Linked DNA regions of Mus musculus. The protein of the gene in region 2 binds, or shares a complex with, the protein of the main gene of each other region. Links are inferred from orthologs where the notes say so. Each region holds a gene or a part of one and is shown on either strand. Other genes may lie near its edges.

Evidence for each region. The genes of interacting proteins can lie anywhere in the genome.
Region 1: the proteins of Fn1 (region 2) and Col1a1 are in contact, whole or in part, in a crystal structure (PDB 3GXE), measured with the Homo sapiens proteins. The link is inferred for Mus musculus from reciprocal best matches to the Homo sapiens genes FN1 and COL1A1. Residues at the interface, in NP_997647.2 of Homo sapiens: Asp516, Gln517, Lys533, His535, Glu537, His539, Leu541, Gly549, Arg550, Gly551, Arg552, Trp553, Lys554, Cys555, Pro557, Gln560, Phe569; in NP_000079.2 of Homo sapiens: Leu261, Pro262, Gly263, Met264, Lys265, Gly266, His267, Arg268.

What each region holds. Positions count from the first base shown.
Region 1 is NC_000077.6:94,942,724-94,946,223, reverse strand, and holds part of Col1a1 (collagen alpha-1(I) chain preproprotein), read right to left. Parts: intron 3,430-3,500; coding exon 3,322-3,429; intron 3,219-3,321; coding exon 3,165-3,218; intron 2,882-3,164; coding exon 2,783-2,881; intron 2,635-2,782; coding exon 2,581-2,634; intron 2,492-2,580; coding exon 2,393-2,491; intron 1,870-2,392; coding exon 1,816-1,869; intron 1,627-1,815; coding exon 1,573-1,626; intron 1,473-1,572; coding exon 1,419-1,472; intron 1,311-1,418; coding exon 1,257-1,310; intron 857-1,256; coding exon 812-856; intron 725-811; coding exon 626-724; intron 414-625; coding exon 306-413; intron 1-305. UniProt on the Homo sapiens protein: Type I collagen is a member of group I collagen (fibrillar forming collagen).
Region 2 is NC_000067.6:71,643,235-71,646,734, forward strand, and holds part of Fn1 (fibronectin isoform a precursor), read right to left. Parts: intron 2,469-3,500; coding exon 2,313-2,468; intron 1-2,312. UniProt on the Homo sapiens protein: Fibronectins bind cell surfaces and various compounds including collagen, fibrin, heparin, DNA, and actin. Fibronectins are involved in cell adhesion, cell motility, opsonization, wound healing, and maintenance of cell shape.

The DNA of each region.
Region 1 (3,500 bases), on a different chromosome or scaffold from region 2:
GGGCCAAGAGTTGAGCTACAGCATTCTGCAGCTATATCTAAGAGGCCCTCCTTAGCTCTGTCAAGGATGTAAAGTTCTTTCAGGGGTTAAAGGGGCCTACTTGGGGATTCAGGTGGAACCTGGGTTAAGAGGCCCCTGAATTCTACAGAGTGGTAAATAAAGCAACCTCCATCAGGGAGATGCCCCAACTTTCATCCCCATGGTAACACATCAGAAGGGCCTGAGTCACAGGTATTAGATTAACCAGGAAAGCATGAAGATAAATGAGAACCACAAGGGCTCATGGGAAGGGAAGGTTGACTTACTCTGTCACCCTTAGGACCTGGAAGACCAGCTGCACCACGTTCACCAGGCATTCCCTGAAGACCGGGGGCACCCTGGCTACCGGGAGCTCCGGGGGCACCAGTATCACCCTGTTTAGGAAACAAGATTAGTGAGCCCAGAGGTGTCTCAGAGCCATGAGCCCACTTAGGATCCCTTATGTGTGGATCCCAGATCACAGGTTCCAACCAGAGGGACAAACTCACAGACCCGACCTTGTGACTCCTGGGCCCCCACTCTGGTCTTGTCCCCAAGTCCTATGATCTGGGACACAACCGTCATGACCTTTCCACGATGCCCTCACCTTGGCACCATCGTTGCCGGGGGCACCATTGTTTCCTCGGGGACCAGCAGGACCTGGGGGACCTTGTACACCACGTTCACCAGGGAAACCTCTCTCGCCCTAGAAAGGAAGGAAAGGGCACATGATGCTCTGACAGGACCAAGCTTGGGATGTCGTAACGGAAGTGGCACGAGAAGGCTCACTTACTCTTGCGCCAGAGGGTCCAGGGGCACCAAGGTCTCCAGGAACACCCTGAGTGTAGAAAGAGGAACTGCAGTGAATCCAACCTACCCCCACCCCGAGAAAGAACCTCTGCCCCCTCTTCCTAGAAGCTGGACCTCAGGAGCCCACAGGACCACATACTCAGCTTAGAACTGAAATTCCTCATTACAATAGGAAGGCTTGAGGTAAAGCCAGAGTTATTCCAGGAGTGTGTATAGAGAAGTCACCTTGCCTAGAGGCTACCAAGCCAGTGCCAGATCATTTGCAGTGAGTGCCCTCACACATTTGGTATATCCAAAGTCCTCCCTTTGCGTTTAATCCCTATCCCTCTAGCTGGTGATTCCCACCCCCATCAGCTGCAAGCAGTGGGTGGCTGTTTTCTTTGTATTTCTTGCATGCTCCCACCTTCTGTCCTGCTGCTACCTCTTACCTGTTCACCAGGCTTGCCTGCTTCACCAGGAGGACCGGCAGGACCAGGAAGACCCTGTAAGGTGGGAGGTGGAGGGGAGAAGAGGTAGGATTTAGAATCTTTAACAGTTAACAAAGGAGTGTTCTGCACTCTTCCCTGCAAACCTAAGTCATGAAGCCTCACCTGGAATCCAGGGGAGCCAGCGGGACCTTGTTCACCTCTCTCACCAGCAGGACCCTGTGGTAGAGAAGAGGCAGTGGTCATGAATAGTCCAAGGGGAAGGGAAGCAAGGCCCCACCTTTCCTGCTCCCCAAGGCTCGCAGACAGGAATACTTACAGCAGGGCCAGGGGCTCCCTGAGCTCCAGCTTCTCCATCTTTGCCAGCAGGACCCTGTGGGGAGAAGGCAATAAATTCAGTATGGGAGATGAGAGCCGCAGGTAGGGACTGGACCTCTGAGACACAGCAGAGCCCCCTAGTGACTTCCGATGTTGTGACAGTGGCTGCAGACATCCTCCATGGGAGGATGGTGTATGTCACAGGCAGGGGCAGAAAGGTCAGAGACTCCAAAGAGATACTTACAACAGCGCCAGGGGGTCCGGGAAGGCCTCGCTCTCCAGCCTTTCCAGGTTCTCCCTGTGTAGAAAGGGAAGCAAGATTGAGGGTCACAGGTCGAGACTCGTTACAGCCAAGGACCTCTCATTACAGTGAGCATTCCCAAGGGGCTTTCTGTTCAAGAAGACTGCAGGAGGCTGGCAAGCTTCAGGGTCTAGGGAAGGTCTTGCCGGCATCTAATGCTCAGCCTCTCTTCCTGCACCCAAAGCAGTCTCCTGCCCGAGACTCCTTCCTGGTCACCCTTCCCCTTCCCTTCCCCTTGACACACACCTTCACTGACTAATGGCAGTCATCTCAAGGCTCTCCTTACCAGACTTGGGTGTGACTATCACATAAAAAGACCATATTATCTGTGTGTTCAGGGGAGTCTGCCTAGCAATACTTATTTATCAAGGACAGAATGATGGTCATGGAGCCAACCAATGGTCTCTTATTTCACTAATGGGTCCAGAAAGGGTCAGTAAAGGGCCTGAGGTCACACAGAGTGTCAGTCGAGTTAGTATGCCTGTTGCTGGTTCTGTAGTGTTCCTCACTGAATACTCACAGCGGTACCCTTAGGTCCAGGGAATCCCATCACACCAGCCTGGCCACGGGCTCCAGGAGGACCTGCGGGTCCAGGGCGACCATCTTGACCAGCGGGACCCTGAGGATGGGAGGCACAAGAGTTGTGGTAAGGACTAAGGTAGGCACACAGGAGGGTAGGGTGAGGCATGAGAGAACAGGCATACTTACAGGGGGGCCGGTTTTGCCATCAGGACCAGGGCTGCCAGGACTGCCAGTGAGACCCTAGGGTGAAGCAGAAGGCCATGAACGAGGGCAGGAGGAGGGGGATGACAAGGGGAGGAGGGGGATCGGAGTGTGGGAGGGGGGGAGGAGTCTGGAGCACCAGCTGCAGGCTGCTCCAAGTCCCATACAGGACAGAGGATCTTCTCACCTTGGCACCAGGGAGACCAGCTTCACCGGGGCGACCAGCTTCACCAGGAGAACCTTTGGGACCAGCAGGTCCGGGAGCACCACGTTCACCGGAAGGACCCTAAGTGGAGAGAAGTCACAGACGCATCAGGGCCACAGCCTTGGCCTTATTACCACGGGTTTAGCATCCTCTTCATGCTGGGAGAAGGTCTTGGACTTTGAGGTGGATTCGTGGGGATGCCAAAGAGAGGCCAAACAAGAGGAGGAGGGAGACACAGCCGTGGTTGCAAGGCGGCAGGGAGCACAGCTGCGGACATGAGCGTAGGTGGATGTCAACCGTACTGTCAGGGAAGTGACGTCGGGCAGCTGGGGGAGTCAGCTTCTCTGCCAGGAAGAGAGATTACCTTGGGGCCAGCAACACCATCAGCACCAGGGAAACCACGGCTACCAGGTCCACCCTGCAGGGAGAAGGAAAAAAGGCCAGTGAGCCTATTACCATCACAGCACTGGGCAAGCACTAAGAGCAAATGAGGAGAGACACAGGGGACAGGGGACACTTACACGCTCGCCAGGAGGTCCAGGCAGTCCGGAAGGTCCAGGCTCACCACGGGCTCCTCGTTTTCCTTCTTCTCCGGCAGGGCCTGGGGGACCTTGAACTCCAGTAGCACCCTGGAGTGGGCAGAGAGGGAGTAGCCTTGGTGAGGGAGTACAAGCCCAGGAGCCTATGATGCTGGCCTCTA
Region 2 (3,500 bases):
TCCGCACTCAGCCCAAGAAGTGGTTCACAAGACTCCTCATATAATCCTCATCGGAGCCACACCTGAACAGCACATCTAAGCGACAACATTATCCTGCCGCACAACACAACAGGTTATCTTTCACAAACCTTCAGTCACGCTAGGAAGCGATCCATCTGTGAGCTCCACACCCCTCTACCACTCTCCCCTCCCGCCTGGCTGCTAGCCTTCCCTGCCCTGTTCTAAGCTTCAACCCACTGAGCTGCTCATCATTCCTGGGTACCATGCTCCTGCCTTCTCCCTATGGCTCCCCACTCATCTGAAATGGTCTGCCTTGCCTGTCTTCCCTCATAGCTCTCATATGCTCTGTGTGTGGCCTTTCCTCTTCCTGAGAGACCCCTGAAGACCCACAGGGGATATCCTGCCTTCTCTAAAACTTGGCTCTCAGGAGGACACCCTGGAGAGCTACGGATTTCCTAAGTTATCCCTCTTCCTGGGTGTCGGTGCTCAGCAGAATTCCTTAGGATGTCTGTTTGTTTTCCTAGAAGCAACCAATCCTCACAAGTTTCCTCGGATAGTTAACACAACAGATTGTGCTAGCTTCTCTTTTAGAAATCTGGCTTTTGAAGGTCAGAGTCCGTATGGCAGCGGAAGAGCTTCTAGAATGAATCTAGCCTCTTCCCCCAGCGCTGACGAGCACAAATACCCAAAGAGAACTCAGACAGAGGACGCCAATGGTGTCAAGGCCCACCATACAGAAGGACGGCAAGGCCCTCCTAGAAGAGGTTGTTTCGTTTAACAGTGTTTCTCAAACCCTTTAATAGTGAAACACCTCGGTATATTAGTGATGCCATAAAAATAGTTAACACGTATTGTTTAATCCCAGTTAGCTCAGTTAATCCTTCATGTAGTTCAGTCGACTGACATTCGTAACTGTTCTTCCTCTGCCTTATGGCCAATAGCTGTTTTTATCGATGATAATTGGATAATGTAGAGATCATCAAATGTAACCTTGTTTGCTTTCACAAGGATTAATTAGGTCCAGATAAACTCGTCAAAAGGGGAAAAAAATCTAATTACTATTGCCTGAATGACTGACTGCTAAGAGGCTAAGTAACAAGGCTGGACTATCACACAGTAAAAGCTAGATGGAAACCCAGAGCGCAATAGCGGGAAGGTACCACCCACAAGAGCTGCACTTCCTTCTTCCGATGTGTGTGTGCATGAGAGACAGCATCTTTTTTTTTTTTTATTTTTTTTTAAAGATTTATTTATTTATTACATGTAAGTACACCATAGCTGTCTTCAGACACACCAGAAGAGGGCGTCAGATCTCGTTACGGGTGGTTGTGAGCCACCATGTGGTTGCTGGGATTTGAACTCTGGACCTTCGGAAGAGCAGTTGGGTGCTCTTACCCACTGAGCCACATTGAGCAGGTTTGACTAGAACTCACTACGTAGCCAAGGCTGACTCTGGACTTCTGATCCTCCGTCCCTCTACTTCCTGATCCCTGGAATCGCAGGCACAACACACCCTCCTTTTATTTAGTGATGGGGAACCAGAACCAGGGCTTTGCGCATGGTTGGCAAGTGCTCCGACCCCTTCCTCAGACTCTGACCAAGCATCCAAGATACATACAAATACCTTTCTTTGTTTTAGTTATTCTTTTAAATTTATATAATAATTATTGGGGTGTTTTGGGAGGGTGCTGGGAACTGAACCCAGGGCTTGAGGATTCCAAGTACATACCACACATTCACTCACTATTGCTTGTCCATGTGAGGGAGGGTGCATGCACATTATCTATGTGCGCATGCGTGTGGAGAGCTTGTGCATGTAGAAGGCAGGGATTATGCCCAGAGCCATCTTGTTTTCTATGACACCATCTTTCACAAACCTAGAACACAACTTCCCCCAACTCCCCCAAGAAAAGTGGGCTGGCCAGCCACACCATCTCACTAACCTGGAACCACCCCCACACTTCCAAAGTAGTGTAAGCTGGCTGGTCTGTAATCCCCAGGTATCCTCCTGCCTCCACCTTCTTGGTGCTGGGATAACACCATCACACTTGGATATTTACTTTGGTTCTAGACTGAACTCTGAGTCTCATGCTCATAAGCCAAAGCCTATACTAATAGAGCCATGACCAGAGTACACTATGCTTTCCAACCCAGCCCTCTGTGCTAAAGGCACGTCTCAACTTCATTCCACTCAACTTTGTTCACAATATAGAATGAATATTTTTAAACAGTTATGTGAACGATTCCAGCTTCTTAGCTGAAACGCTATAAATCACCCTGGCGTGGAGCTGTCCCCGGTCCCAGCGCCTCACCGGCTGAAGCACTTTGTAGAGCATGTCGCTCACACTTCCACTCCCCTCTGCCATTGCCTGTGCAGACACACTGAAGCAGGTTTCCTCGGTTGTCCTTCTTGCTCCACGTGTCTCCAATCCTATAGGATGTCCGGGTGTCCTGATCGTTGCATCTGTCTGTTTCAGGAGAGAAGCATTGAATATAGAAGTTATCTAGTAACCGACACGCAGCCATCCACACTAAGATGGGAATGCTGCAGTTGAATGCTTCTGAGTGGCTGTTGTTGGTGTTAGTACATCCTACCCAGTGCTGGTGATGCATATATTAAAATTCAGATACCCGGTTCGTTACAGTACAGCCCTACCTCTCCATTTGCCAAAGGAAAAAAAGAAAAAATACTATTCAGTGTCTTTTATTGATTAAAAAAAATTAAGATTTTCTACATTGGTTCTTTGACTCAATTAATTATCTGGCAATCTACTCTTTACTCCTCAGTGTCTTCCAGACCTTTTTCTGTAATTACAGCCCATGGCCCTCCTTTCAATAAACAATAAGGAGGCAGGTCTCTTCCGACTGCCCCAGGGAAGCTAAAAAGTTAACCACACCAATCTCTCCACTTGTTATGTAAAAGTATTCCTGTGGAAAAACAACTTCTCTGGCTAGAAGGTTCTCTTTTCTTGCCCCACCCAAAACCACCTGTTTTACAATTACAAAGTCACCCACGTGGTTAACCCCAGCGTCTGGGAGGTAGGAGCAGGAGTGTTAAGAGCCCAAGGTCTCTCTCAGCAACACAGTAAGTTCTAGGCCAGCCTGGGCTTATGAGAATCCTCCCTGTATAATAGTAATTGTAATAATAACAGTGACAATAACCAATAGCAACGACAAAATGGCTTATCCCACGGTTAAAAGGTCTCTTCTGGAGTTAAGGATGCTGTCTCTTATTATCCTTGTAAAAAGCTGGCCCCAGGCATCCTTCTTCCCTCCCGCTTCTAAGATTGTCTTGAAGTCTTAATTGCTGCTTCTGCCTTCAAAGTTCCATTTAGAATTTCAAACTAACAACAGCCTTGGAATTTGCTGAAGCATGAATTTTAAAACGCATGCAAAAAAAAAAAAAGTCAAATCTAGATATCTTGAATGTGTTTTGTTTATCCAGCTTAAACTAGTAATTAAAAATACCACCCAAGTTCAAATTCTTTGCCACACAAAAA